5 linked regions of the Ovis aries genome follow. The protein of the gene in region 4 interacts with the protein of the main gene of each other region in a biochemical or structural test. Links are inferred from orthologs where the notes say so. Each region holds a gene or a part of one and is shown on either strand. Other genes may lie near its edges.

Region 1 (5,918 bases), on a different chromosome or scaffold from region 4:
CACCGCCAGGGTCTGAGTTGCACAGCAAGGTGAAATGACACTGTGTGTAGGCAGGCTGGAGTGGAGAAATCTAGAGTCAGCGATCATCAGCAGGCTGTTAATACAATGTGGGCCAGTGTTAGGTCTAAGAGGCAGCTCCTCTGTGAAGAAGCTGATGCGCGAGCATGAAGAGTCAGCTGTAAATCTAAAATCCTTCACCCAGAGCATCAAGTGATGATGGTGCTACAGGCAAACCCCACTTTTAAATGCTATGTGCTCAGAGGGATCTGTTTGCACTTGATGGAAACTGAAGAAGGAACAATGAAGCATGTTTTCATTAAGCATTGGGAAATAAGTCATGTGGTGACTGATGACTCGCAGGAATAATAAAAGGAGCCTGGAGAGAGAATACCTGAAGAGCAAGGACAGGAGGGAATCCAATGGGCAGCTGAGAGCACGGCTAACTTTTGCAGGATAAGAGGAACTCCTCCTCCTGCCCTACACACACACTCAGGTGCTTCAGTCTCCCTAAAGTTCTGACGTTATAATGCTCCCATTTACTACTCCTTGAGAGGCTGAAGCAGTGACGACACAATGCTTATATAACTAACCTTAAGCAGTATCTTGGTCCATTTCAGCCTACAGTTTCAACTTCTAGGAATGAAGTATTTTAGAATATGGGGCGCACAGAAAGATGGCTGTTCCTGAACTGTCAATATAACCCATCCAGTAAAACCCCATAAACTGCCAGCTCTATGACAGCAAAAGCCTCATCGTACTGTATGATGCAGGCATAATACATCATACCTGCCTTCGAGATGCTCAGAGTCTTGGGGAGGACAGAGATTCAAAAACAAATGCAACAAATGTGAAAAGTATAATGACTGGTCCATGCAAAGGGTCAGAGAAGGCAATGGCAACCCACTCCAGTACTCTTGCTTGGAAAATCCCATGGATGGAGGAGCCTGGTAGGCTGCAGTCCATGGGGTTGCTAAGAGTTGGACATGACTGAGCGTCTTCACTTTCACTTTTCACTTTCATGCATTGGAGAAGGAAATGGCAACCCACTCCAGTGTTCTTGCCTGGAGAATCCCAGGGATGGGGGAGCCTGGTGGGCTGCCATCTATGGGGTCGCACAGAGTCGGACATGACTGAAGCAACTTAGCAGCAGCAGCAGCATGCAAAAGGTGTTGTGGGAGCACAAAGCTGGAATACCCAACCTAGCCTTGGAGAAAGGTGTCAAGGAAGGTTTCCTATAAGAGATGGGCCTAAATTGAGACTTATATATGAACTGGTTAGTTAGGTGAAAGTGGGCAGCCTAATTAGCTGAGGAGCAGGAAGTGGAGGAAGGAATCAAAGAGAAGATTCCAGTCAAAAGGAACAGGACAGTGTACACGCATGAAGAAGCAGTTCAGGGTTGCTGCAACCTAAAGTATGAGGTCAATAAGAGGCTGGAGATGCAGGCAGGTCCAGATGAAGCAAAGCCCTGGGTGATGGGCTGAGAAGCTCAAACTTTAGAAGCTCTAATGGATTTTGCAATTTAGTAAACAATAAATATTTGCTTAATGAAAGAAAAGATAGGGTGAATGAAATGACAGATCTTTAAATATTATTAAGCAGGACTTTGACTCAGATTTGTTTTCAAGGATCACTTGGGGCAGGATGGTAGGTAGTTAAAGAATAGTTATGCAGGGAATTGATCTAGAGACAGGGAAACCAGTTAGAAGGCCATCATATTTCAGGTGAAAGAAGGTTCAAAGTAGGACATTAATACAGACAAAAAAAGAACACAGATTTAAGAACTACTTAGAGGGTAAAATCAACAAGACAGTGATGGATGTGCTAAGATTAAGTACAGAGAAGACAATATTTGAACAGTCTGTGGGACTAGCAAGCAGAGGTATCCAGCAGGGTAGCCAGAGGTAAGAATGAAACTCAGCAGAGGTCTAAGCTGACACTTTAATTTGGGAGCATACAGGAAGGAGTTAAAGCCATGCTAGTTGACGTGCTCATTCAAGAATTGTGTACAGCATAAAAAGAATAGTGGGCCAAAGTCACAAGCCTTGGAAACACCCAACATTTTAGACAAGGAGGGAGGACTATCCACAGGAGAAATTACTGGTGAGGGAAACACTCGGGGGGAAAAAAAGCTAAAATGTAAGCTCTTCAAGGGAAGGAGGCACTTTGACATGTTCATCTGTATATCACAATAAATGTTTGTTGAATAAATCAGCTTAGTGTACTGTCGTGAAAAGCAAAGGAGTAAAGAGTAAAAAGTATCACCACGTTTGCAGCAAAAGGATCCAGTAATGATCGGAAGTGTCAGTCGCTCAGTCATGTTCGACTCTTTGTGACCCTATTGTGACCCACCAGCCTCCCCTGTCCATGGAATTCTCCAAGCAAGAATACTGAAATGGGTTGCCATTCCCTTCTCCAAGGGATCTTCCCAACCCAGTGATCGAACCCTGGTTTCCTGCACTGCAGGCACATTCTTTAGTGTCTGAGCCACTAGGGAAGCGTAATGATTAAAGAACGTATATTTGGTTTGATAATAAGTCACTAGTGACTACTGTATAAAATTTTAGGGGAATAACAGATCTGAAAGCTAGATCGCAGAAAGGAATGAGAGGTGAGGAATTGGATACAGAATTCACAATACTCTTCAAAAAGTCTGGATAAGGAGAAGAGAGTTACTGTATGTGAGCTAAAGAAAGATGGATCACCAGGAACTTTTTCTTTCTGGCTTGGGGGATAAGGAGCAGGGATCTGAATAACCTGACCTTGTTTATACATGACTGGGACACAGACAAGGGAAGAAAAGACAAATGAAAGCCCCGGTTTCATAGGTGAAAACATAAAAGAAAGGTCAGAAGCAAAGATAAAGAAATTTGTTTTGATCAAGAGACAGATCATCCTCTGATATTGAAGGAAAGGTATAGATAGGTGGTATCAACTTTGACGAGTGTATGAAAAGAAAGCAAGGGTAGAAATTTGAGGGAAAGCACATCGGATGAACTCAATTTTCTCCCTAAAATAGCAGATAACAACAAAGTAAGGTGTCTGGGCAGTTGAGAATCAGCTAAAGACAATCAATATAAATTAGTGGACAACATCCAGACCTCTGAAATCCAACTGCTCACGTTCAAATCTTCCCTCCACCACTACTCACTGCATAATTTGAGGCCAGTTATTTAAACTAAGACTTCTTCAGCTGGAAAACAATATTAATTATGGCTCTACACCACACTGTTGTCACAAGGGCTAAATTAAGATGTAAAAAGTTCGGCACCTGGCAAAAAAACAGCATTCAACATCATTACCACTCTCGTTAATAGTGAAGAATAGGCGCTATAAGGAAATGTTAAAAGATCATCCGACAACACTGCTTGCAGCGAAGGTGACAGGGCACAAATGTTCTGTCTCCCTGAACAGAGTAGTCCTGTCCTCTGTGTTCTAATGGCTCCCGATATATATCAAATTCTCAAAAGGCTCCAAACCTGGACCACATTAATTCCACATGGAAATTATAGCCTTGATTTGTTGAACCGCTATCATTGGTCTGCATGAGAAAAGGCTTGATTCTTCTGGTCTTCCTACAAGGCCAGCTGTGGATGCTGTGAAGGGCCCTCAAATTCTTCTCAAGGAGCGTTTCTGGAGAAAACAAAGTCGCTCCTGACAGGCTGCGAAGCCTCCTTGGGTCAGACAGTGCCCACTCTCTAATCTTTTTTCTGCTTGTGCTCTGACTAAGCTAGGTTCAGGTGTCAGGCGCATAGGTGAACCAACGCGAAGTGCAGTGGAGACCAACACGAGCGCCGCCAGCCGCTGAAACACGGCAGGAGGGAAATGGGCAGCCCTGGGCCTTAGAGCCCGAGGATGGAGCAACGCCTGCTTGCCTGCCGGGAAAGAGCCGTGAGAGCGTTATTCAGGGAACATTACTCTGGGGTAGAGGTGGACTCGATGCCCACACTCACGGCTCTCAATACGGCAGGAGACGAGGTAGGCCGACAACCGCCTTACCTCCAGATGGCTGAGGCCAACAAGCTCACGTTACTCCTTCACTTCCGGCGCTGAGGGATGACGTTGCAAGACAAACTGGGGCGCAACCTGTGACGTTTCCAGTGCCTGTCGGAAGACTGACTGAGGATCTCGCTAGATGCCCGGATGGGGAAGTGCCCGCCCCATTTGGTTCCGAACTGGGCAAAAGTCCAAGTTTGGTTCCTGGCAGTTAACCAAAAAACGACGAGTTCTCTCAGTTCCCCTCTATCCGAGAGCCGCTCCCCAGTCACCACCTCTTAATCTCTGAATTGGGATACACTTCAGGCAGCTATCCTCTCGGTGGCCGCTTCTAGGCAGCCATGCAGCATCTTGATTTTCGCTTTCCCTTCATAGGGAAAAGCTCCGGAGAAAGCAATGGCACCCCACGCCAGTACTCTTGCCTGGAAAATCCGTGGACGGAGGAGCCTGGTAGGCTGCAGTCCATGGGGTTGCTGAGAGTCAGAGGTAACTGAGCGACTTCACTTTCACTTTTCACTTTCATGCGTTGGAGAAGGAAATGGCAACCCACTCCAGTATTCTTGCCTGGAGAATCTCAGGGACGGGGGAACCTGGTGGGCTGCCGTCTATGGGGTCGCACAGAGTCGGACACGACTGAAGCGACTCAGCAGCAGCAGCAGCAATAAGGAAAAGCTCACTACTTTTAAAGCCACCGTTTCCGCTGTAGACAGTACCTGCTTGTGGCATTGTTTTCCCGCACGCTTTCGAAGCTACAATCGGCTTTCTCTTTTTCTGAGTGAGAAAGGTCTGAAGGGGCCAGAAGTGGAGAAACCTAAGATTTTTTTAATGCTGTCTTCACTGAATGAACTGGCTGAGGGGCTGTCAGGGAGGAGAATAGCAAGATGTTGGAATGAGATGTTTACTGATTTTTATGACAGTTCCAGGATGTTCCCTAAGAGTCATGAACTGCAAGAATTCAAAGGCATTCTGGCAGATGGAAAAACTGTGTCTCTTTTCTAATATCGTTTCCTTACATAGAGATTTAGGACTTCCCTGGTGACTCAGACAGTAAAGCATCTGTCTACAAGGCGCGAGACGTAGGATGAAGATATCAGCTATTAAAACAGAATAGGAGGATCTTCCAGGAAACAAGGGAGAGCTGCCCTTGTTGGCAGAAAAGATGCAGGTTTATATTAAGGTCACACCAGGAAGTGCGGGAGCACAAGGAGCAGCTCCGCGGCTGCACAGGCCTCATGGCAGTGGAATGTGGTTCACACTGTTCCAGGTAAAGAGAGGCTGTTGTGGTGACCCGACCAGTCTTGTTTTTCCCTCAGAATTAAGCACTTTCCAAGCATCACAGTGGTAAAGAATCTGTCCGCCAATGCAGAAGACACAATTTTGATCCCTGGTTGGGAAGATCCCCTGGAGAAGGAAATGGCAACCCACTCCAGTAATCTTGCTTGGAAAATCCCATGGACAGAGGAGCCTGGTGGGCTATAGTCCTTGCGGTAGAAAAGAGTTGGGCATGACTGAGCACCACACTCACACACAGAATTAAGCTTCTCTTAGCCTCTGCTTCTATAAATACCTGACCTGCCTATGTGTGTCTGGCATTCAAAATTGGATTGAATTATTCTAATTGGTCATTCAACATATATTGTGCAAAAATGTCCAACCTATTAGGTCTAGCCCTTTCTCTATAGCATATTACTGGCCCAGGAAATGCACAGCTTAAGGGTATTGCGGGGGGGCACTTAAAATTTTCAAGGAATCCAGAACCAAAGATTTATCACAAACACATGTATAGAAAATTAATAGCGAATAAGCCTGTGGTATTACCTAATGCGTGTGCTGCGTGTGTGCTGGGCTTCCCAGGTGGCACTAATGATAAAGAACCAGGCTGCCAATGCAGGAGATGGTTGGATCCCTGGGTAGGGAAGATCCCC
Region 2 (6,178 bases), on a different chromosome or scaffold from region 4:
TACTGAGATGACACCCAGGGAGAGGCTTGAGGTGAGGGAGTTAGCCCAGCAGATCTCTGGGGGGAAGGATGGCAGGCAGGAGTCAGGGCAGGGACTCTGGGCACAGAACATTAGTGAAGATCACCAAAGAAGTTTTAAGATCTCTGGGTTTCTGAAAGGAAATTGGTTGCAAAATGAATTCAGCTTATGAAGTAGAATAAACTCCACTCTATATCAATCCAGTTGATTTCAGAATATCTTGTTGCTGTAATCACTGACTAAATAGTTTGAAAGATACAATCTTCTCTATGTTTTCAAAGTTATCTTTAAAACATGAATTCCTTTAAATTAATAGTAACGAAACCTTAGGAAAGTCAGGGTTATTCCAGATCTTCTTGTGGACTCATGGTCTTTCGTTAATTCAACTATTCTTCCTGTGAATATAATAACATTTGGAAGAAAAACCAATTTCTTTTGCATTTAGATACCTTTTTATATAGATGAGTACCACTCATATCTTAGCGTTTTTGTGCAGGTTTGGCCTCAGAAGATGATTTTCTGATAGGAGAAACCTCGGCCACACGAGAGGAATGGAGGAGGCTTTATTTCAGAGTCAGCATAAAGCTACCTCATTGAAATGCCAAACAAAACTAATCCACTCACTCTAATACAGACTTTACAGTGATACAGAGAAATTCTTTAACACCAGCACTTCAGAAAAAGTTCAGGAAATGAAATTTAGCCTTGAGGAAAGGAACAAACCCATCAGTTGGAATCCTGTTACTGGTGTGACAGACAGCAAGACCATTGCCCATGGTACTCAGACCTCCATGTCAGCAAGGTAGTACCTCATGGGAATTCCATCTGAGTTGTAAGTGTTAGTGCCTGAGAAGGTAGGTTTCATATTTGAAGATAGACAGGATTCGTTAATCTCTCAGCCAGAGGAGTTGCTAAAGAAAATAACCATTTTAGATTTTGATTCTTCTGTGTTGCTGAGTGAAACGGACGGCTTTTAGTGATGTGTGTACCAGCTGGACTGCCCTTCAGAACTGGAAGCTTGTAACTTGTGTATTTTTCTCGGAATGTGGCGTTTGAAGCTTTAACTTTGAAAAATGGCAATGTTTTTCTTTTTTACATATTTTACATATGGGTTGTTGCCCAGCCCATAAACTTTCCCCATTTTTTCTGGAAAAGGAAAAGATAACAAAACAGACCTTGATAATTGTTGTTTAAAAACTACCGAAGTATAAGGAAACTCCCCCATAGAGAAGGAATAAAACAGTCCTCTATCTTTTAATTTTTTTCTTAATTGTACTCTCTCTGTCTTCTCTAATTTCTGGATGATATCTCCAACTTCCAATTTTTCTATAATATTTTTTATTTTGATTTAAATCCTTTCCTAGAGTTTTCTTTTTCTGTAGCATTCTGTCCTTGTATCATGGATAAAATATCTATAATCTGAGAAGATTACTGGTAGCTTTTGTGGGTGTGTTTGTCTTCCTAAATAATCATTTTTTCTTCCAAGTTGCTTGTTTCTGTTTGTTCTGGTCTGTCTTTCGTGCTTTCCTTGATTATTTTCTTGTTCAGAGTCACAAAAAAGCCAGATGGCTCATCATCTGCTGCTCCCTGTGGTTCTCTAGTAATCACGAAGTATTACAGTACAGGGGGTGATGACATAGAACGGAGAAAAGTTACGTTACAGGTTTTCATAGGCTAAAACCACCTCCGTTTAAAGCAGAGGTAACTTCACACTTAACAATATTTGATTAGAATTAAGCCTGAAATTCTTAAAAAAAATCTTTAAACATTTTAAAATCCATTTTAGGGTGTTTGTCAGCTTCCCAGGAAAAACGATGAAAAGGAATATCCACACAGGAGAATTGATATCAGGTATTGTTCAAAATTTGTTGCTGACCTATTCTCCTTTCTTTTCTCCTCCCCCCCACCCCTCCCCCTGGGTATATCTTGGAATTTACATAAATATCCAGGATCCCTTTTCATTCTGCAGACCCATGCTACTGCTAAGTCATTTCAGTCATGTCCAACTCTTTGTGGCCCTGTGGACTGTAGCCCGCCAGGCTCCTCTGTCCATGGGATTCTCCAGGCAAGAATACTGGAGTGGGTTGCCGTTTCCTTCTCCAGGGCATCTTCCTGACCCCGTTTCTTACTTCTCCTGCATTGACAGGTGGATTCTTGACCACTAGTGCCCCCTGGGAAGCCCCTGAAGTGCCCTATGTCCTTGCAATAGACACTTTTTGGCCTGAAAGTATGTAAAAAGTAACACTATCGACAGAATCTGCTTTATTATCTCTGGATTTGCCTCTTCATAAGGTGCCTTCCTTATCAAGAGAAGAGCAGTTCTCTTGGGTTCCCATACCCTACTGCTCTCCACCCGGGTGCCCTTTCCCCAGAAAATCTCTTGCTTTGTCCGCGCATGTGTCTCCTCGGGCAGTTCATTTCCGAGTGTTAGACAAGAGCCCAGTTTCGGGCCCTGGAAGGGGTCAGCCTTCCTGAAACAAATGGTGACTCTGGTGGGACTCTTCTCCGCTGAGACTGACATCCTGACCACTCGGGGTGCTCGGGCCAGCTTGCCTGCCAATGGACCAGACCCAGCGTCCGCAACTGGGACCCTTTGGTCCCTGGTCTCCTCCTGACGCGGACAACTGGCCAGAGTGCCCTGACCGGTAAGGAACAAGAGATTCATTGACCTCTCTCCCCTTCCCTCTCTCTTTCCTCTGCTTAACCCTTCCTATCCTTGCCTGTTTTTCTGGTCCCCTGGTCTTGGTTGCAGGAATCTGGTTGAAAGGCCCTCAGCCAGAGCTGAGGATTGGAGACTGATCACCTCCTCTTGGCAGAGAACTTGAATTCTGGTTCTGGTCTGGTCTGATTTCTGGTAGGGGCGAGTTCCAGTCCTCCCTTCTCTGGAGGCCCAGGGAAAAGTCCCATAACACCTGGGTATCTGTAGGTGGCAGGAGACGTCTGTAAGGCCACCCCTTTCACCTCACCTCTCCCACCTCCTCTCCCTTCTTTCAACCTGGCTTTCTTTCCTCCCTTGAAATCTTTGATGTTAGTACTTGGCCCTAGTGGTGCAGAAGGTAAAGCGTCTGCCTGCAATGTGGGAGACCTGGGTTCGATCCCTGGGTTGGGAAGATCCTCTGGAGAAGGAAATGGCAACCCACTCCAGTATTCTTACCTGGAGAATCCCATGGACGGAGGAGCTTGGTGGGCTACAGTCCACGGGTTGCAAAGAGTCGGACATGACTGAGCGACTTCACGCTCATTTTCACTTTCAAGGTGCCTGCCACAGCATGAGGTGGATCCCGCTGGGGAAGGTGGTCCTGAGACCATCTTTGGGTTTGTCCACACCCCTTGCAGAGTGTGGTTTACTGAAGCCTGAACTAACTGCACGGTTGAGGACATTTGAATGGTCCTAGTGATGGGGGTCTCTTTAGGTTATTGGACTGCACAGGCTTGTATTATGCCTTCCTGATTATGAGTCCTATTTTTGCGAAGTTTGAAATGCATAGTAAAGGATTGCTCGCTTGTTTCTTTTGTTTAGGTTGATACCCAAGGACCAGTATTACTGCGGTGTCCTCTATTTCACCGGGAGTGATATTTTCAATAAGAATATGCGAGCTCATGCCCTAGAAAAAGGCTTCACAATCAATGAATACACAATCCGTCCCTTGGGTGTCACTGGTGAGTATTTGTGTCTGCATCGGAGATAATCCCAGTCATCGGGATATTTTGGTTTAGCAACTTTGGTTTTTCTAAGAGCCTTTAAGTAACCATGGCAGTTAATTGTAGTTTCTTTAGAATTGTTAGTCCCTCAGGCAACAGAGAAAGCTTTGCTCCATAGGTGTTCCCAGGCCCTCAGCTCATGATGACAAGATTTAGTTATTTTCTGTGTTCAAATGGATTAAATTCTTTCTACTTCCATGGTCAGCAAAAAAAGAAGAAACTCTTATTGACCTAAAGGATTTTTGTTTTCTTAAATGTGCCTCCAAGATTTCAGGAAAACTCAGGTGTTGCTCCTTTCAGTGTCAGGCCAGACTTGGTAGCTTTGACTCCAAACTTTCACAGTTTAAAGAGTAAGAATTACATAGTCTGTTTTATAGATCTTATTAACATTTCACAGTCTATTTATTATGTGGTCTACTGTTATCTGCTAGGAGAATGAAGATTTCGTCTTTTTGTCCTAAAACTGTAAAGTAGGGCTGTGCTTGTCGCGTGTCAGTGGGTGTACAGACTACATGGGACCCTCACTCAATGCAGGTTTCACTTCAGTGGGCTTTGCGGGACTGCTGCATTGCTAGTCCAGGGACCGTGTGCTGAGTTGCAGAGGAACTCACTGGAGTCTTTTCTCTGGCACAGGGGAGATCCAGCAGAGAGGAGAGTCATGGATTAGGGTCACGTCAAAGGGCCAGAGTTGAGGTATTCAGGTTCGCTGTGTAGCACTGGTGATATGTGTGTGGCAAAGCATGAACAGAAGCCCTCGAGGGAGGTCTTTTTAAGTCGCTTGTGGACTATTTTATTTTCCCTCTGAAGCAAGTCCTATTCAGCTCTCCATCCTGACCCCTCTGTAACTGAGCTCCAGAACTGGCTCATGAGGAAGGTCTCTTGGCCCTCCTTGCAGGCGTTGCCGGGGAGCCCCTGCCCGTGGACAGTGAGAAGGACATTTTCGACTACATCCAGTGGAAGTACCGTGAGCCCAAGGACCGAAGCGAGTGAGGCCCGTCCTCCCCGGCACAGCCCAATCAGAATCTTAATTTATTTCTTAAGCTTTGCTATGTAAGGGTCTGTGGTGTTTTTAAGTAACTATTTCTTCTTCATGCCGTAACCTGCACTGTAGTCAATAAAACATCTTGTATGATTATCAGCTGTGATCTAGTTCTTACTTTATTAGCAAACGTCTAAATTTATATATTCTGTTGATGACTGCACTTTACTAAGGGTCAGTAGAGAGAATTAAGAGATGAGATGATAACAAATCTTAAGTGGGGATTTTTATGTTCTCCTTTCCTGCCCTTATGTTATAAACTACATTACCTCATTACCTTTCCTCCTGTTTACTGATTATAAATTAGTTAAAGTGCACCCAGGGGCCAGCCTCTGGAAGAGGGTTCAGGCTTTTTTAGAGATTAGAGAACTTCATAAATTTCACTTTTGTCTTTGCTTGACCCATATTTGATTCTGTTATAAATACTTATAAACTAAAGAACAGGTATGTGGTTTGTCTCTCAAATGAAATCTGTAGCAATTGATTGTAATCCATGAGAAAGAACTTCCCTAATTCAGTTCAGTTCAGTCACTCAGTTGTGTCCGACTTTTTGTGACCCCGTGGACTGCAGCACAGCAGGCTGCCCTGTCCTTCACTGTTTCCCGGAGCTTGCGCAAACTCATGTCCATTGCGTCGGTGATGCCATCCAGCCATCTCGTCCTCTGTCATCCCCTTCTCCTCCTGCCTTCAATCTTTCCCTGCATCAGGGTCTTTTCCAACATTCACCCATTTGTATCAAATATGACCATTTAAACTTCAAATAGACAAAGATTTCACTTTTTTCCCCTTGTTTTCCTCCAGTGTAACTTTTGAGTACAGATGGTCAGGCACTCCTTGAAAGCCCAAGCTTTGAAATGCAGAAATTATATCAATACAAAAATATGAAAAGTTCTTAAATAGTAAGGCTATTGAAAACAAACTAATGGAAAAGTGCTTTGGAACTTGCAGTGGGTTATACCAACATAGGCTATTATCTTTTGAATCTTGTATCTTTATTAACCAGGTTTCTGTTTTTGTAGCGAGATGGCGTTTCCCTTCCAAGACATGAAGGCTTATAAACAGTAGGGGCTTTAAGGAAGTTTTCCCTGGTAAGCTGACTTAACAGCAGATAAACTGTCACTCCGCTTCCCCACAATTCCCATCAGGTGTCAGAGCTTCACCAGAAATCACTTAAAAGATTTATTTGAACTAACTGAATGACTAGATGAACTTAAATTTGTTGTAGAATCACTTGCACTTTTCTGCAGAAACAGACAAAAAGCCAAACTAGTCTCTATTCCTCACAAGACAGCTTCTGCAGCTCAGTTTGTTTCACTTATTACAAGATGGGATTTTAAGATGTGTAGATGGGAAGATGTGCGAGTGCACGCCTGAGCCTTCTGCTGGGTTAGACCTGCAGCCGTTAGGGTTTCTGGCACA
Region 3 (6,097 bases), on a different chromosome or scaffold from region 4:
CACCCCACCCAAGGACCCGCCACCACGCCGCCTGTCCCCTGGACTTTGGGGAAGTCAGCAAAAGGTGCAGTGGACCCTGTAGCCAGGCTGCTGGGGCCCCCAGTCACTTCTGAATGCCCTCCTCACCCCACCTCTGGAACCCAGACCCTCAAGGCTGGGCCATCAGCACACAGATCCATCGCCTGATGCTGTTGGGTCACGTCCCAGGGCGGCTGACCCTGTGCGCCGACCAGACCAGGCACAGGCCCAGGTCAGAACCCCACTGCCCTCGCCGCCCTCCCGCCCACAGGAACCCGGCCCCAGAGGCCACAGAACCTTCTGGGGAATCTGACCCTAAGTGTGTTCGCTGGTCTTCAAGTCCATGGGAACATCAGAGAGTACTCTGAATCAAGTACCTCCACAAGCACGACTTTAACCATACTGAGGGGAGGGTCTCTGAGCCGGGCACATCTGCTGGGGTGGCCAGCTCACCCCACCTTGCGCCTCTGGCAGGGGAGAGGCCCAGCAACTGGAAGCTCCTAGGACAGCAAGCCGTGCCTTCCACAGCCACAAAACAAACTTCCACCAAAGACAGAACAAGAAACCGGCCATACCTCCCAGCGGTGCTGGCCCTGCCCCAAAGCAGGGGACCAAGCCCAGGTCAGAGATGAGAAGGAAAGACCCAGAAGGTAACCTGCCCACTGGGGGCGAAGCCTTAAGTCAAACCGAGGGGTAGAAGGGCCGTTTTTCACCAAGGCCCCTGGCCCACCATCACTTGGCTCAGGCTGACCCCCAACTTCTCCAGCAAGCCAAGTGGCGACCTTGTCCCAGCACTGGCTGCTGGTGGCCACTCTGGTGTGCCCACATCTGTGCAGGGGAGCGGGGTCAGGTCAGCAGGTCAACAGCAGAGCCAGGCCCTGGGCGGCTGCTTCTCTGGCTGCTTGTTCCCAGGCCCAGTGGCCTCAAAGAGCCAGAACTCTGTAGGGGTCTGGCTCTTGGACCACTCCCCAATAAGCAAGCATATGGGAGGCGGGGCTGGGATTGCCACCACAAACTCCAGCCTCACCCAGGAGCCCAGGGTCCAGGAAGTGGGGTGACTTACTGCAGACACCAGACAACTGGGTGCTGTGAGTTGTCAAGAAACACGGAGACTTGTGTCAACACAAGGGAAAGCGAGCGTGAAACTCTAGCTCCCACGCAGGAGGCCTGGTGACAGGAGCTGCTGCCCGGCTCTGACCACTGAGGACACTCTTCAAAGGCTCTAACCCTGCCCAACCTCAAGATCAAGTCCCAAGCAAGAAGGCCCACACCCCAAAGAGAATTTCTCTTTGCCACCCCCGAACCTCCAGTCCTGGCCCGCTCACCTCCTCCTCATCTGTGGACCTGATGGACAGGACCCTGTCTGGGGTCTCCTTCCCTACACGTGCACACCCATCTGGTATTTTCATTCATTCATGTGATATAAGTTGAAGACCACAAGTGCGGCTGCCCGAAGGCTGACGTGGGCGTGCTGGTGCCCCTGGGTCCTAGTGGTGGTTGCTGGCCACCTGGGCACTGCCTGCAGCACCAGACTGTCCACAAACAGGACAGAGTGGGAGATGCTGGGGTCACTTCCCTCAGGTGGGGAGCTGGCAGAGCAGAGGGGAGTGCCAAGCAGCTTTCAAGTCCATGGGAACATGAGGGCAGTAATCCTGAAGCCTGAAAACCCTTCACTTCACATCACCCTTCTAAACAGAACTTGCCCCCGCCTCATCACCAGGGCAGATGGGAACGCCTCTCCCTCCCCTGGTGGGGGCTTAGGGATGTGCGGAAATCCTACAGGAGCCCCTCACGGGCCAGGACCACCTCTAAACTGTCCCACACGGGAGCTCAGTGGCAGAGACAAGCAGCCTGGCTCTCCGTGCACTGTGAAGTTCCTGCTGAGTCTGCGCTCAGCAAGGCTTCAAGACTGGTTCCTGGAGCCTGGGCAGCACATGGGTTCTGGAATGGGCAAGCTGGCACTCGAGGGCTCTGGAGCGGCATGGCTAGGCCAGGATGTAGAAAAGGCCGGTGGGGTGATCCTCAGTGCCGCATGCCTGCTGACCGCATGCCAGGACCCCGCCACAGGCCACCTCTTCTACTGACAAGGAACAAAGCCGCCTCAGCAGACCCTGTTGGGGCGCCAGCTGTGACTGTCTCAGGTGCAGAAAGTAATGGGAGGGGTGTCCCACAAGAGCTGCTGCAACCCCGTCCTTGGGGGTGAGAACCAAACTGGGCACCTGAAAGACAGATGCTGCAGCCATGGCGGAGTCACAGGCGCACACCTGCCCCCGCCCAGAGAGAGGCTGGCCTCGCTGCCCAGGAGAAAGCAGCCAATTTGCTACATTTTAATTACAACACGGAACCACTCCTTCAGCATCCCACTTAGAATCCAATCAGCTTTTCCCAACTGACAGGGAGGCACTTAAGGAGCTGTTAAGTGTGCGCAGTCTTCAGGGCAGCAAAATCACTAAGAGGCAAAGATCGGGTATCTATGACCTGCTAGAGACAGCCTGAAGCACAGGATCCGGGTCTGGGGCAGACCCTTGAAGTCTGCAGCCACCCTTCTCCAGCGTGGGCTGTGCTTGAACCCACGCTTCTCAGATCAATCTCTGAAGCCACTTACCGGCTGCAGGTGAGGGCCAACGGCTTCCCTCTTCCCCTTCAACCTTCTCACCGGTAAAACGGGCGATAGCACTGTGAGCCCAGAGGTCGGCCCAGGATGAAACCGATAGAGGCTCGCGGCCCTTGGTGGGCTTTCCCACCCAAACGTAAGCTCGCCAGGAGAAGGAAGGCACTGGCTTCACCTGCGCTCAGGAGATCCTCCAGCCCAGGGGCACTTCCCTGGTCTTTCCTGACACGCCTCCCAGGACGCCCAGCTGTTTCCAAAGCAAGCCCAAACCCCCAGCGAGACTCACGTGCAGCACGATGCAGAATTCACCCCCAACCCACCCAAAATCAAGTCAGCACAAACGTGGGCTCCTTCTCCCCCTGCTGCTGGGCAGGTTCTCCGTCCAAAGGCAGTTTCCTTGGGAGCAAGAAACACAGAGGACCACGGGCTTAAGAGCAGACCAACGAAAGCCAACTCCGCAAACCGGGGAGAAACTGCCAACGGAGCTTGTTTTCAAATCGTACAAACCAAACCAGTTACTTCTGTGATTCAAGGACAGCTGCTGGCCGTTACCATCAGCCCAGCTAATCATTCCCTCGCCTTCCTCTTACTCGCGAAAACTATCAGCTCCAGCCGCCGTGCAATTGGTATAAAGCGGTCTTGGGACGAGATCTCCCCGTCAAGGGAAGAGCGAACACTCGGTGGGTCCCCCGCAACGGCGAGCGGAGCTCGGAGGCGCAAGAGCTCTGGCTTGTTTTCGTTTCCAGGCATCACACGCCACCCCCAAACGCGCCGGCGCTCCTGCAGCGCGCGGCTTTGCACTCTTTGTGCAGCGCGTCCTCTACCAGGCTGGAACGCGCCACAGGTTCGCGCGCAGACCGTGACCCCGGAAACGCTCCGCCTGAGCGGAGGGCTTGGCGCTCCTGTCAGCGCGGCCCGAGCCGAGCGCGCCGTCGGCCGCCCCGGACGCGACTCGCCCCGAGCGCGCGCCCGGAGAAGACGCCCCCACCTCGCGGGCCGAGGCCGCGGCGGGCCGGGGGCCGGGCTACCCGAAGGGAGCCCGGCGGGCTGGCCCCCGCCGCGGCGTCAGCAGCCCGGGGCGGGCCGGTCCCCGGGAACGGGCCGGGCCGCGCGCGGAGGGCGCCTGCCCGGCCGGACCCGCCGGCAGCGGAGTTTTGGGCCCCCGCGGCCCGGCGCCCGCCCCGCGGCGCTCACCTCGGGCGGCCCGGCCCGGCGAGCGAGGCGTACTAGGCGGCGGCGGCGGCGGCTGCGCTCCCTTTGTCTCGGGACTTCCCTCCCGAGCCCGCTCCGCGCGCAGCCCGAGCGCTCGAGGACCCCGGCGCGGGCGGGGCGGGGCGGGGCCTGCGGGGCCTGCCCGCCGCGCGCCTGGCTCGCACCCCGCCGCCGCCACCGCCAGCCCCGCGCCGCCCGCGCCGCCGAGCGCCGCCCGCTGCCCGTGTCCCGCCGCCGCGCGCCCGCGCCCCGGGCCCCGCTCGGGAGCCCGGCCCGGAGGCGGCTTTCCAGTCAGGCGGCGCCATGGACACCTGCGTCCTTAAAGGGGCCGCGTCCCGGGTGTGAGGGAGCGTCTGCAAACTCCCCTTCGCGGGGCACTGTTCCTCGCGAGGACCGGCCGGGTAGCGGCGGGGAAGCAGGGCGGCCGAGATCTCCCCGGGCTCTCCGGATGCCCCGCGGGCACCTCCCCAGGCAGCGGTCCCGGAGGTCTCCTCGAGGCTAGGGCCCGGGGCGGAGGAGCAACGACCACTGAGGCCTAGGGATCCCCCAAGCGTCGCAGCACGGTGACAATCTCTCGCCTACGGCATGCTGTGAAACCCCTTGCGATTGGCCAACTCGGGGCCCTGGGCGGGGCATCCGTCTAATGTGCCCAATGAGCAGGCCCCGTACACAAGACCAAGTGCGGGCCCGACCGACGGGAGGAGAAGTGCAGACGCTCCCTAACCCAGGGGCTGGCCTGGGGGGAGGGGCGCCGGGTGGTCCGGGCGGGTGGGGGAGGAGCAGGGGCAGGGCTAGGCCCCTGTGGCCGGGGTCTCAGGTCCGCCCCGAACCCACGCGCGAACGCTTGTCCTTCCCGGCCACGCTGGGCGCCTCTCCGTCTAGCGGCCCCCGACCCCCGTCCCCTGGCCCAGAGTGGGAAAGAGGGAGCGTTCCAAGGTCAGCCCCTCCGCCCGTGGGCTCTTTGGGGTCAAGTGGCGGGAGGTGACCGCCCCCCCACCCCGGCCCCCAGCTTGCATTCATTCACCCCTTCGCCCTGGGTCTCCTCCTTCCTCCGTTTCCTTCCATCCTCCCCACCCTCACCCCCGGCAGCCCCCTATTTGGCACTGTACTGAGACTATTGGCCTCCAGGGCAGACCGCCCAGCACCGCCCCCCCCCCCCCCGCCCCCGCAAGGCTAGTGTCCCAAGGCCCACGTCTGGGCCAGAGCTCTCAGCAGGTGTTCAGCGCTCCCAGCCCGTCTGTTACAGTGAGGATGGTCACTAGCCCTGAGAAGGCCCCGGGCTGGGCGTGGGGTTGAGGTGGGGGCGTCTCCTGAGGCTGGTAGCTCCGCTGGGCTGGGGAGGTAGTCTGCCTAGGGTGCCTCTGGGTCAGCTGTGGCCCAGAGGGCCTGGTTATAGTGCCTGGGGTCCCGGGTAAGGGCCCAGACCCCCTGAGCAGCAGGTGAGCATTCCAGGTCTCTCTGAGGCTCTGAAGTCCAAAGGTGCTGCCGGCTCCTGTGTCCCCACAGTGACCCAGCGTGGGCCTGCTCTGGGACACTGCCTCCCCTGTCTATTCACCGGGGCAGATGCCAGGATCAGGGGCTTATCTGAGACATCTGTTCTCTGGGTCCCCAGCCTTGGTTCATCGGCTCCGAGTAGAAGTTTGTGTTTTAACAAGTGTCCCACGTGGGCCTGCCATGTAGCACTTGACCACTGAGCTACAGTTTTAAGAACCCCAGGAGCATGGGCTTAGTGCCAGCACCATCTTTTTTGTGAGGGTACCGGGGAGGTTTGCGCAGGGCTGCACGGGGAAGTCACCCAGTCCAGTAACATTTGCCGGTGAAAAGTGGTGGCCATTGCTGGGAGAGGATCCTGGAGGACTGCGCCTGATCAAGTGCCCACTGTGGGGGGAAGAGGTAGTAGGTGTGATTCGCAGCTGCCTAGAGTAGGGGTGCCACCGCTAGCTCCCTCAGGTGGCTGTTGAGGGTCAGGTCCTGGGAGGTCTGTGTGTAGGGGCTGCTGCTCCAGGGGCTGAGTTAAAGAGGAAGAAAATCCACCCCTACCTCACACCACATACAGAACCAACTCAAAGACCTAAGCAGAAGAGCTCAAACTATAAAACCCTTAGAAGAAAACGGAAAAATCTTCATGACACTGGATTTGGCAATCATTTCTTGGATGTGACACCAAAAGCAGAGGCAGCTAAAAAGGAAAAACTAAATGAATCAAACGTCAAGATTGTGCATCAGAGGACATTATTACCAGGGTGAAATGGTGAC
Region 4 (5,031 bases):
GTCATTTGCTCCCCAGCTCTGACCCTGCCCTTTGCCCTCCCTAGGATGAAGTTCGAGCTTCTAGGCTGCCGTCCACTGCACTGCAGGGCTGCCCTACCTGCTCTCCACAGTGAGGGAAGGCTCTCCGTCGGCACTGTCCAGACCAGCAGCCGGTGGGCACTGGAAGCACGGCCACTGTGGCTGAGCAAGTGAATTGTTCGTTTCCCTGTTGCTAAGTTTTGGTTTCGTTTTTTTGCCACACCGAATGGCAGGCAGGACCTTAGTTCCCTGACCAGGGACTGAACCCATCTTCCCTGCAGTGGAACTGCGCAGTCCTAACCACTGGACCACGAGGGAACTCCTAAAGGTGGTTGTTTATTTTGTTTAGTAATTTTTGGCTGTGCTACCTGGCATGCTGGATCTCCCCCAACCAGGGACTGAACCCATGCCCCTGCATTGGGAACACGGAGTCTTAACCACTGGACCACCAGATAAGTCCCCCATCCCACCCCCACCTTCTACCCTGATTCTCTAACAACCAGGTCAGGTCCCACCTTAAATATGGTGGAGCCTTAAAGAGGGTCTGGGATTTGTGGAGGGTAATTTAAATGCCCCTTCCCTAGCTCTCCCTCCCAAATGAGGTGACGTCAAACCAGGCTGGGGATGGTTTCACAGCTACTTCTGAGAGCCCTGGAGAAAGGGAGATGTCCTTGGCCCAGGGGAGCTGAGACTTCAAGGGAGGCCACCCCATGAGCATCCCAACCCACAGCCCAGGACCCCCAGAGGGACAACTGAGATACGGGAATGGGCTCCAGGGATCCAAACCAGCTGAGGGGTGTGTGCTGAGTGTCAGATTCCCAATCCCCTACCACCTGCTGCCAAAGCGGGGAGGCACCAGGGAGAGTAATAAGGAGCTCCTTCCCAACCAGGCCCCGGACAGAGAGCCGGTCGTTCTTCCGCAGACCCCAGGACAGGAGTCATCAGGTGGCCCAAAGACCCAGCCTTCAGAGCCAAGTGGAACCAAACCTGAGACAGAAGGCAGGGAGCCTGCTGGGGGTTCTCAGAGACGCGAGCGGGAGGGGCAGCTGCTCCAAGCCAAGTCTCCTTTATTACACTCGTGTGGGTGTGTGTATGCGTGCACATGTGTGTGTGCGTCCATGTCTGTCCACACACATTTCACGCCTGGGGCACCACCCCGTAGAGCTGGTGGGGAAGTAACTTCTGCTTCTCATTGCAACTGTAGATCCAGCGGGGGCGGACGAACACCAGGGAGGGGTTGTCCGTCAGGGCCTGCAAGGGGCGGGGGGCAGTGGGAAGGGTGAGCCAGGAGGGGCTGGGGGATGTGCTGGGGCAGGCTGGGCCTCCCTCTCCTGCCCCTCCAGGACTCACCTCCTCAAAGCTGGGGTCCCACTCCTGCGCGGTGATCACAAACTGGACCCGCTCACTCATGTAGTCCTCAAGCTCCCTGGCGGGGGATGCGAAGAGGCGGAGAATCGGCGCCCCGTCTCTTGACGCCCTCCTCCCCAACCACCCTAGAGGCCGTCCTCTCTTCACCCCCACCCACGTCCCCTGTGGGCCACCCGTGGGTCCCCCACTCCCACGTGCCAGGCTCGCCGTATCCATGAAACCGCCAGCTCCTGCCAGCACCAATCCTTTCAGAAGGGCGGTGAGGAGCCTCATTTTAGACAAGAGGAAGTGGGGGTGAAAGGGTCGGGGACGGGGAGTTTGGGGGTGTGGTGTGGGAAGCTATGCGTCCAGGGCCCTAGCACAGCGAGCAGGGCTGGCACGGAGCTCCACAGCCTGTGTCGACCCTCAGGGTATATCCCTTCTCCATCCTCCCCATGACCTTCCACCCCCCACCTCCTGCCCCTGGAGACTGACCCGTTGAAGGCTGTGACATAGCGGCTGAGTGTCCGCCGCTCGTCTCCTGGGAACTCCCCGTAAAGGAAGAAGCGTTTGCCCTGGAAGAAGTCTGCAGGGGAGAGATGGAGATGGGGCGGGGAGAGCCAACATGAACCCCTGGAGTCCCGGGGTTCCAGCCAGGAGCCACGGGACATTTGCAGACTGGACAAGAAAGCAGGCGCAGTGGCTGGATGGGGTGCGGAATGTCCGTGGACACCCTGACTCAGAAGCCATCCCTGACAAGCAGTGGTTCTAGGCAGGCCTAATGGGGTTTTGTTTTATATTAATGGTAATAGATACAATTACTATTAGTGGCAATGTGTTTCTTAAACCAGGTCAGTCAGTTCCTTCACTTGGTCTAGGCTGGAAACTTCACATCCGGCCACTTCCTCCACTGGCTAGCCCACTCCTGTTAACCAGTGCCTTCTCTGACGCTGACCTTCAGGGTGGCTCTTTGTTCCAGTTTAACATGATTTTCTGTTAAGTTGCCAAGGTCACGTTTGGGGCTTTGGAGGAGGATCAGAGTACATTCCTGCCCATCACTTGTGAGGAACCGGGTGGAAATAGCTTTTTCGGGAGGCCACAGACCCTCGCCTCCACTCAGAGCCTCTGACTGTCCAGCTCTCCTTTCATTCTCTTTCGGCTGCGCCACGCCACATGTGGGACCTTAGCTCCTTGACCAGGGATCAAACCTGAGCCCCCTGCACAAATGAACTGGAGTATCATCCTTTTCACCTAAGATATTTATCTGAAAGTCCCAAAAAAGGTGTCCAGGAAATCTTCGTTGATTTCCAAACAGTTCACCCCCTTTACAGTCATACCGTTCATTCCATACCGTGGAATCTTAACCACTGGACCACCCGGGGAGTCCCTCTCCTTTCATTCTTGACCAGAAGAGGCTCCGATGCCTGCCCCCATGTCTGGGGTGATGGATAGCAAGGCGGGTCCCAACGGAGATCGGCACAGCTGTATTCCCTGAGCCCCACCCCCACCGACAAAGCTGAACCCGGGGGGTGTAGCTGGGGTACCTGCAGATTCTTAAAGCCCCCAGGTCGGTCTTGAAGCCGAGGGAGTGGGAGGCCCCTGTCATCAGGGGGTGAGAAGCTAAACGGGGTCTGGCAAGGGGCTGGGCTGTGAGGGAGGTGGTCACAGTGGAAGTCAGGACGGGACAGACAGGCACGGATGCTGACAGGAAGGGAACAGGCCTGAGAGGATACGGAGGTGGCAGAGGTCAGGGAGGAGGGTGAGGAGCCTGGGAGACAAGTCAGAGTGGGCGGCGGCCATCCCAGGGGGCCTGGGGCAAGTCACCTTAGACAAGTGACAGGGCAAACCCCACCTCAGGAGGGAGGGGTTCCCACCTGGGAGCTCGGGAATCGGCAGGTCGGGAGACTCCGGGGGGCCCTCATGGTCCGTGTTCTCATCTGTGGATCCTGCGTACGGGTCCTCGCCATTCTCCTCCTGACCAGGGGGCTGCCTTTCTTCCTTCTGCTCGGCCACCCTGGAGAGGCCAAGGGTGGGGAAAGAGTGTGCAGATCGGCTTCCCCTCCACCCAAGGCCGGGGCCACCCTAGCCACCCAGCCCCACCCTACCTTCTCAGCTCGTCCTCGGTGTCCCCAGAGTCTTCTGCCCCGTTGTCCCGTCCTTCTGTGAGCAGACACTTAGTCAGCTCGAGGCCCCTACCTCCCAGCCTCACACCTGAGCATAGGTGGGGTGTCTCAACCCCCAACCCAATTGCTCCCCAGATCCAGTTGGGGGTGAGGGGGCGGCCTCCCTCCACCCCCTAGGTCCACTGTCTAGGATCCAGCCCCATCTCGCTGGACCCAGGAGCTCAGACTTGGAACTCCTTCCCCTTTTAGACGAGGGAATCTGGGTCTTCAGCCGCTCTTCCCTCAGACTCTGACCTGACTGCTCCGCCTCAGTGTCGTCATTATCTTCCTGGGCCCCTGGTGAGGCTGGTTTGGTCTCTTCTGGGGTTGGGGGTCTCTGGGGTGAGCTAGGTCCTGCTGCCTGAGGGGGCTTGGCTTTGGTCTGGGGGCGCTGAGGAGGGAGGGTGGGTCAGGGAGGAGGGAAGGGGCAATGAGGGTGTGAGTGTGTGCCCGCAGGAGACAGAAGTAGAGAGTTTGGGGTACCGTGTCCCCCCGACTCCACCCTCCCCCATGCCGGGCAAGGGGCATGGACCTTTCGGGGAGCCTTGGGGGCTTCATTCCCACTGCTGCCGCTGTGAGAGCCCCCCTCGTCCTCGCTGCTCGAGCCTGACCCAGCCATGAGGTACCTGGAGGAGGGATCGGGCCTCAGACCAACAGCAGATGCGTCCTCCAGGGGAGGTGGGGAGGGGGCTTAAGAAGCAGCAGGCGCTTGCATTTACTATCAATAAATAAATCCTCAGGGTGCAGACGTGGTCTCCCTCCTGGTCTACCCCTTCTCCCAGCTCCAGAAGGGCCCCGTGGACCTTCAGCCACCCACACCATTGACCACAGCAACCCCTGGCTTCCCCTCCGAGGGAAGAAATGTCTCATTTCAGAAACAAACAAAAAAAATCAGAAATAATTCTCTCCGGCAAGCATCAAAGTCAGTTTCTCATTAGGAGAATGCCTACTGATCAAGGGAAAAATCTTGAAAGCAAATTTCCTGTGTGCCAGGCACTGCTGTGAACACTTTACAGGTTCAGAATCGCTGAATCCTGAGGCGGGTGCTATTTTCAGCCCCATTTTACAGAAGAGGAAACGGAGGCCCAGAGAGATGAATCAAGTGGCCCCAAATCACAGGGCAGAGTGCGTACGCAGCAGAAGCGAGTGAACCTGCTGGGCATGCTGCCCTGGCCCCCACGTTAAGACCCTTCTGCACGTGATACGGTTGCTTCCAACCTGGTGACGCCCTTTTCGGGAAAGTCACCCTCACTGTAGAACCAGGGCTCGTGGGAAAACTCAGAAGGCTTAAAGTGCTGGGGGCCTTCCCCGGTGGTCCAGGGGCTCAGACTGCTAAAGGAGCCCCACTTCCCAACAGACACCAGGCTGAGCCAGCCTCGGCTCCTCTGCCTCAGCTCAGCCTGGCGAACCTCTTCTCCTTGAGGAACCCTGGCTCACTGCAGTTCTCCCTGTGGGCCCTCCTCCAAAGTATTTCACAATAAGTCTGGCCCCTCATCAAAGTCAG
Region 5 (4,804 bases), about 4.5 Mb from region 4:
CGGGAGGCGCTTGGTGCCTGTGGGTGCTGTGATGCTGAGCCACGGGGTGCGTCGCCTGCCCAGCCTCCCTGCTCTTGGCTGCCTCTAGGATTTCCCAGTGGAGGCAGCCCTGGGGCCCCGCCGCCTCTATCCTAGCGTGGGGAGGCTTGTGTGTGGTGCTGTGTGTCACGGCTATGGCTGGTCCTGGGCGCTCGCCCGGCCGGTGTGGGGGGGTCACAGGATCACCAGAGCATGCTGGGAGGACACTTGGGCAGGTGCTTCTGTCTTGGGTCCCCTTGTGGGAGTGGTGACAGGCCTGGGGACGGCCCGGAACGCTCTGTCCTCTGGACGCGGGCTCTCGAGGGGAGGAGTGAGCTGAGGGCCAGCCGTGACCGTGCTCTGCACTGCCAGGCTGGCTGCGTGCACTTCTCCTACAAGGCCTCCTGTGAGGTGCGCGTGCTCATGCTCCTGTACTCCTCGGAGAAGAAGATCTTCATCGGCCTCATCCCTCACGACCAGAGCAATTTCGTCAATGGCATCCGGCGTGTCATCGCCAACCAGCAGCAGGTGCTCCAGCGGAACCTGGAGCAGGAGCAGCAGCAGCGAGGGGTAAGGGCCCCCCTCGCCACGCCCCTTCTCCCCTCCCCGCCTCCGCCCAAGGCTCACTCCTCCGTGCTGTCCTTCCCCACAGATGGGGGGGTAGTGGGCCCCCCCCCCCCCCGGGGCCGGGCCTCTCCAGGAGTCACAGATGAGGCCCCTGCGAAGACTGGTGAGTGGCAGCCGGCCTAGGGCAGGAGGGCCCCGTGGACACGCCTGCGGTTGGGAGGTGGTGTGACCCTGGCCTCCAGGAGACCAGAGAGGGAGAGGCCCGCCTGCCCCCGCTGAGCCCCCGGGAGGCTTCCGGCCTGGGGCGGAGTGCGGGGGCCGCCCACCCAGTCCCTCTGCCCCCTCCCCGCAGGTCAGATGCTTCTGAGCAGGGGCCTCTGGGGACTGCGCCTGCCCAGCGAGATGGAGGACCACGTCCTGAGATGTCTCTGAGGACAGCCCCCACCCTGTACGTTTCCCCAATAAAGTCTTTTAAAAGCCCTCCGGCCACTTGGCTCTGTTCAGACTCCCGGCTCTGGAGAGGCCAGGCCACTCTCACCTGAGCTGGGAGAGGGTGCCACCGTGCACGGAGCTGCCCAGCCTGGGCAGTACCTGCTGCTCCAAGTGTTCCAGGGTTTTTCCTGCAGCTGCTCCCAGGCTGCCCTCCCTGCCCTGTGGCTTCCACGGGCCTCATTCAGCTAGAAGCAGACACGAGGCAGGGCCAGGCAAGTTCCAGCTGCCACCACCATAAACCTCTCCAACCCAGGAGAGGCAGAGGCCCCCCAGGGGGGCAGAGTCCCCAGTAGCACCTTCCTGGTACCTTGGGCCCAACGGGTCTGTGCTGCTGGCCTGGCTGGGTGAACCACCCTTCTCTCCAGCAAAATGGTGGCCAAGAGTTAGGAGAAATAGCATTTATTGTGGGAAGGGGCGAGGGCCAGTAGGGCAGGGTGGCTCAGCCCTCTGAGAACTGGCGGTACAGCCGCTCGAGCTGCGGCACCACGTGCAGCTGAAATGGGATCTCCAGGACGGCTGCAAAGCCTTCGGCCAGCGTGGGGGCCTCGAACTGCTTCCTGGCGGCAGAGGATGCAGGCTAGAGGCGAGACCCAACCATTGGGCTCAACCTATGTCCCCCCACCTCACCCTGCGGCCCCCACCTGTAGCTGTAAATGACGACGTCGGACACGGGCATGTGGGAGGAGTCTGTCATCTCCCGGAACTGCGGGGGCAGAGGTGGGGCCGGTGAGGCCAGGGCTTGGTGGGGTGTTGGGGGCTGGAGGGGCTCGGGGGGTTCACTCACCCGGTTGTTGTGGCGCGCCTGCTCCAAGGTGGCACTGAAGAGGAAGCAGCGGCAGGGCACACCCGCATCCCGGGCACACTTGATGTACCTTGGGGAGGGGAGGATGGGGAGCTTGGTAAAAGGCCTGGAGCCGCCCTCTAGGGGCCTTCCCTGGGACCCCAGTACCTGGCCCGGCTCTGGACGTCGGGGTTTGTGTTGTCAATCACGACCGGTTTCCTCTGCTTCAGGGCCGCCTCACATGCAGTCACACAACGCTGCCATGAGCCCAGAGTGTCCTGGAGACCCAGAGAGAGAGATCAAGGATGGGGCTTGGGACACCCAGGGGCACAGGGACCCAGAGCCGGCGGGGGGACACCGAGGCAGAGTGATGGAGAGTCAGAAAGCACAGCCGTCTAGGGGTTGGGGGGGCACTGAAGACCACGTCCTACCCTGTTCACGTGGACGTATCCGGCTGACACGAGATGCTCCCGGAGGAAGGTGGACTTCCCGGCTGTGAAGGGCGCAGGGTGAGTGGGGCCTGAGGAGTCAGAGAGGGGCTGGGGCTTCTGGGGGTCAGGGAGTCTCACCCCCAGGAAATCCCACGGCGACGACCACCTCTGGGTCTGAGCTTAAGAGGGAGCTGGACTCGGGGAGGCAGAGAGGCCCAGAGCGGGCGATGCTTCTCTGGGAGGGACAGACAAGATGAGAGAAACCCGGCCCCATCCCTGTGCGTCCCCGCCGCAGGCCTCATCGGGTCAAAGGCTGCGAGCTCAAAGGGCCCCATCCATGTGTGCCCCCCACCCAGCCCTGCAGGCCTCACCGGGTCAAAGGCTGGGAGCTCGAAGCGGGCCGCAGGCCACTTGAGAAAGAACTCCTCTGGTGTGGTGAAGGGCAGGCCCAGGTTCAGGGCGAACTGGGGGGGCGAGGGAGCAAGTCAGGTGGGGTGGGGTGGGGGCGGGCTCCGGTGTCTGGACCGGGTGGGGCACTCACCAGGCGGTCTGCACAGGAGAAGTCTTTCTTCTTGCGCCCAGGGGCCCAGTTGGCTGGGCGTCCCGCTGCGTCTGGAACACGGAGCCCCGTCTCCACCAGCATCCTTAGGAGCGGCCCATCCGCATCAGCGCCCAGCACCCCCCCCCCCCCCCAGCCCCAGGCCCTTACCTCCCACAAAGATGCTGTCCCTGATGGAAATGGGCACGCCCTCGTTGGCCTGGGCAGGGACACATGACAGGCAGTAAGGAACCCAAGCCCACATCTGTCGCACTAACAGGTTCCGCCAGGAGGTCGCTCTGTCGGTGCCCCGCCCTAGGCCTGACCTCTAGCCTCTCAGACCTCAGCCACTTCTCAGCCGCTTCACCGCCTGTTCCACAAGCGGCCGCCAGAGGGCGCCCGCTCCCACCTGACGCGGCTCCGGACCCCACAGAGTCTGACCTCGCATTGCCCCCTCGCCAGCTCAGCGGTAGCCACACAGGCCTCCTCCCTGCCCGCGAAAATACCGGACTCCATCCATCTCAAGATCCTTGCATTTGCCGTTACTCTGCTCTTTCCTTAGATGACACACGGCTCCCTCACTCACCACCTTTAAGCCTTTAATCAACACCCGGCCGTTCCCTCACTGTTTACACATCGGTCAACACACTTAAACGAGGGCCCGGGCGCAGGCAGGTCTGTCTTGTCCACTAATACGTTCAGCTCAAGAAGCTTTGTTTGTTCTGAAGAACAAACCCATGAATGAATCCACAGGTGATTTCTCTCCGGACCACTCTGGTTTCCCGAGTTTAAAAGCATTGGCCTCAGCCACCAGCACCAGGACATGATAGCAAAGAAACTGAGGCGGCCAGGCCTGGGGAGGGGGTGACAGGGAAGGTCATGGAGCAGAGACCTGGAGTGGGCAGGCGGGCAGGGAGCCCTGGGAGTCGGAGGCTCACCTGCTCTTGCAGGTGGTCCCACATGCCGCTCACCGGCTTCCGGTACAAGCCTGCGTGCGTGGCCACCAGCACCTGTGGGTGGGGCCGGGGTCAGACACCGTCCTTGACTCTTGCTCTGACACCCAGAGTCCTACAAAGGCACCTGAATCCCAAGGACACTACGCCAACGCTCACCAAGGTGAGCACCGCTTGCAATGCATCTGTCGGCATAACCACGCCCGGGGCCCCCATCCACTCTCCAACTGGCTCACCATGTCACACCTTCTCCCCGGGTCTCTGTTTCCTCCTTTCTGGCCCACCACGCAATCTCTGGCCTCTGTCTCAGCCTCTCTGTCCCTCTACATAGTCCTTCAGCCTCCCATGCAGCCATACCTGAAAGGGGACCCCCAGCTTCTCCACCACAGCCTCCACCTTCGCTTTGAACTCCTCCGCTCGCAGCTTTCCGCGCCCGATGCCCATCTGGTTGGTGAAGATCACCAGCTGTGAAGGAGATGGGGTGTCACCCCGGCCTTTCCTCATCAGGCCCGGGCCCGCCTTGTGAGCCGGCCCCTACGGAGTACACACCTTGTAACCCTCAGCGGCCAGTTCCCGGAGTTTCCGCGGAATCTCTAGGTACAAGATCCTAGTGCGGGCGAGGAAGCGCAAGGTGACCTGGGGCCCGGATGCACCTCACCACCCTCTCCTACTGCCTTCAATCACCTCCAGTCACTGGGGCTAGTGGGGAAGACCTTCCCAGAACGTGTGGTGATGAGGGTCCCGTCCAGATCAAAACCAGCCACCTGGCGTCACCCAGAAAAAAGAGCAGCACTGTTACACCTCTGGGCCACCTAGCTCGCAGGCTGGTTCGCGTCAATTCTGCAAGCTGGGACTATGAGCGCCCGCCCCTTACAGATGGGGAAACCGAGTCACAGCTGGCCTACCCATGTTCTGTAAGGACAGGATGCCACCCGGACAGCAGAGTGAAATCTTCTCTACCACCTCCCACTCCTCCTGAGCCCCTCAGTATTTCAATCTTTAAAATGGGTTTTGTATCCGACCC

What was found.
Region 1: the proteins of XRCC1 (region 4) and APTX form a complex in vitro, tested with the Homo sapiens proteins (2 studies listed by BioGRID). The link is inferred for Ovis aries from reciprocal best matches to the Homo sapiens genes XRCC1 and APTX.
Region 2: the proteins of XRCC1 (region 4) and POLB form a complex in vitro, tested with the Homo sapiens proteins (5 studies listed by BioGRID, with this or other methods). The link is inferred for Ovis aries from reciprocal best matches to the Homo sapiens genes XRCC1 and POLB.
Region 3: of the proteins of XRCC1 (region 4) and UBE2I, one has a biochemical effect on the other in vitro, tested with the Homo sapiens proteins (2 studies listed by BioGRID). The link is inferred for Ovis aries from reciprocal best matches to the Homo sapiens genes XRCC1 and UBE2I.
Region 5: the proteins of XRCC1 (region 4) and PNKP form a complex in vitro, tested with the Homo sapiens proteins (3 studies listed by BioGRID and IntAct, with this or other methods). The link is inferred for Ovis aries from reciprocal best matches to the Homo sapiens genes XRCC1 and PNKP.

Annotation. Positions count from the first base shown.
Region 1 is NC_056055.1:38,141,647-38,147,564, reverse strand, and holds the start of APTX (aprataxin), read right to left. Parts: upstream 4,056-5,918; 5' UTR 3,545-4,055; coding exon 3,477-3,544; intron 1-3,476. UniProt on the Homo sapiens protein: DNA-binding protein involved in single-strand DNA break repair, double-strand DNA break repair and base excision repair.
Region 2 is NC_056079.1:36,544,552-36,550,729, forward strand, and holds the end of POLB (DNA polymerase beta), read left to right. Parts: intron 1-1,804; coding exon 1,805-1,869; intron 1,870-3,538; coding exon 3,539-3,678; intron 3,679-4,353; coding exon of another isoform or gene 4,354-4,412; exon of another isoform or gene 4,413-4,615; coding exon 4,616-4,710; 3' UTR 4,711-4,855; downstream 4,856-6,178. Other genes in the region: DKK4 (dickkopf-related protein 4), read right to left, coding at 6,162-6,178.
Region 3 is NC_056077.1:1,565,036-1,571,132, reverse strand, and holds the start of UBE2I (SUMO-conjugating enzyme UBC9), read right to left. Parts: upstream 3,938-6,097; 5' UTR 3,824-3,937; intron 3,460-3,823; exon of another isoform or gene 3,220-3,459; intron 2,997-3,219; exon of another isoform or gene 2,916-2,996; intron 1-2,915. UniProt on the Homo sapiens protein: Accepts the ubiquitin-like proteins SUMO1, SUMO2, SUMO3, SUMO4 and SUMO1P1/SUMO5 from the UBLE1A-UBLE1B E1 complex and catalyzes their covalent attachment to other proteins with the help of an E3 ligase such as RANBP2, CBX4 and ZNF451.
Region 4 is NC_056067.1:51,464,156-51,469,186, forward strand, and holds the end of XRCC1 (DNA repair protein XRCC1), read right to left. Parts: intron 4,154-5,031; coding exon 4,060-4,153; intron 3,919-4,059; coding exon 3,783-3,918; intron 3,526-3,782; coding exon 3,471-3,525; intron 3,380-3,470; coding exon 3,240-3,379; intron 1,952-3,239; coding exon 1,861-1,951; intron 1,445-1,860; coding exon 1,369-1,444; intron 1,270-1,368; coding exon 1,156-1,269; 3' UTR 1,069-1,155; downstream 1-1,068. UniProt on the Homo sapiens protein: Scaffold protein involved in DNA single-strand break repair by mediating the assembly of DNA break repair protein complexes. Negatively regulates ADP-ribosyltransferase activity of PARP1 during base-excision repair in order to prevent excessive PARP1 activity.
Region 5 is NC_056067.1:55,943,114-55,947,917, forward strand, and holds the end of PNKP (bifunctional polynucleotide phosphatase/kinase), read right to left. Parts: intron 4,545-4,804; coding exon 4,465-4,544; intron 4,388-4,464; coding exon 4,330-4,387; intron 4,246-4,329; coding exon 4,138-4,245; intron 3,838-4,137; coding exon 3,766-3,837; intron 3,048-3,765; coding exon 2,999-3,047; intron 2,902-2,998; coding exon 2,831-2,901; intron 2,754-2,830; coding exon 2,661-2,753; intron 2,525-2,660; coding exon 2,428-2,524; intron 2,352-2,427; coding exon 2,290-2,351; intron 2,137-2,289; coding exon 2,027-2,136; intron 1,950-2,026; coding exon 1,862-1,949; intron 1,781-1,861; coding exon 1,719-1,780; intron 1,655-1,718; coding exon of another isoform or gene 1,635-1,654; coding exon 1,517-1,634; 3' UTR 1,461-1,516; downstream 1-1,460. Other genes in the region: PTOV1 (prostate tumor-overexpressed gene 1 protein), read left to right, coding at 391-588, 671-682. UniProt on the Homo sapiens protein: Plays a key role in the repair of DNA damage, functioning as part of both the non-homologous end-joining (NHEJ) and base excision repair (BER) pathways.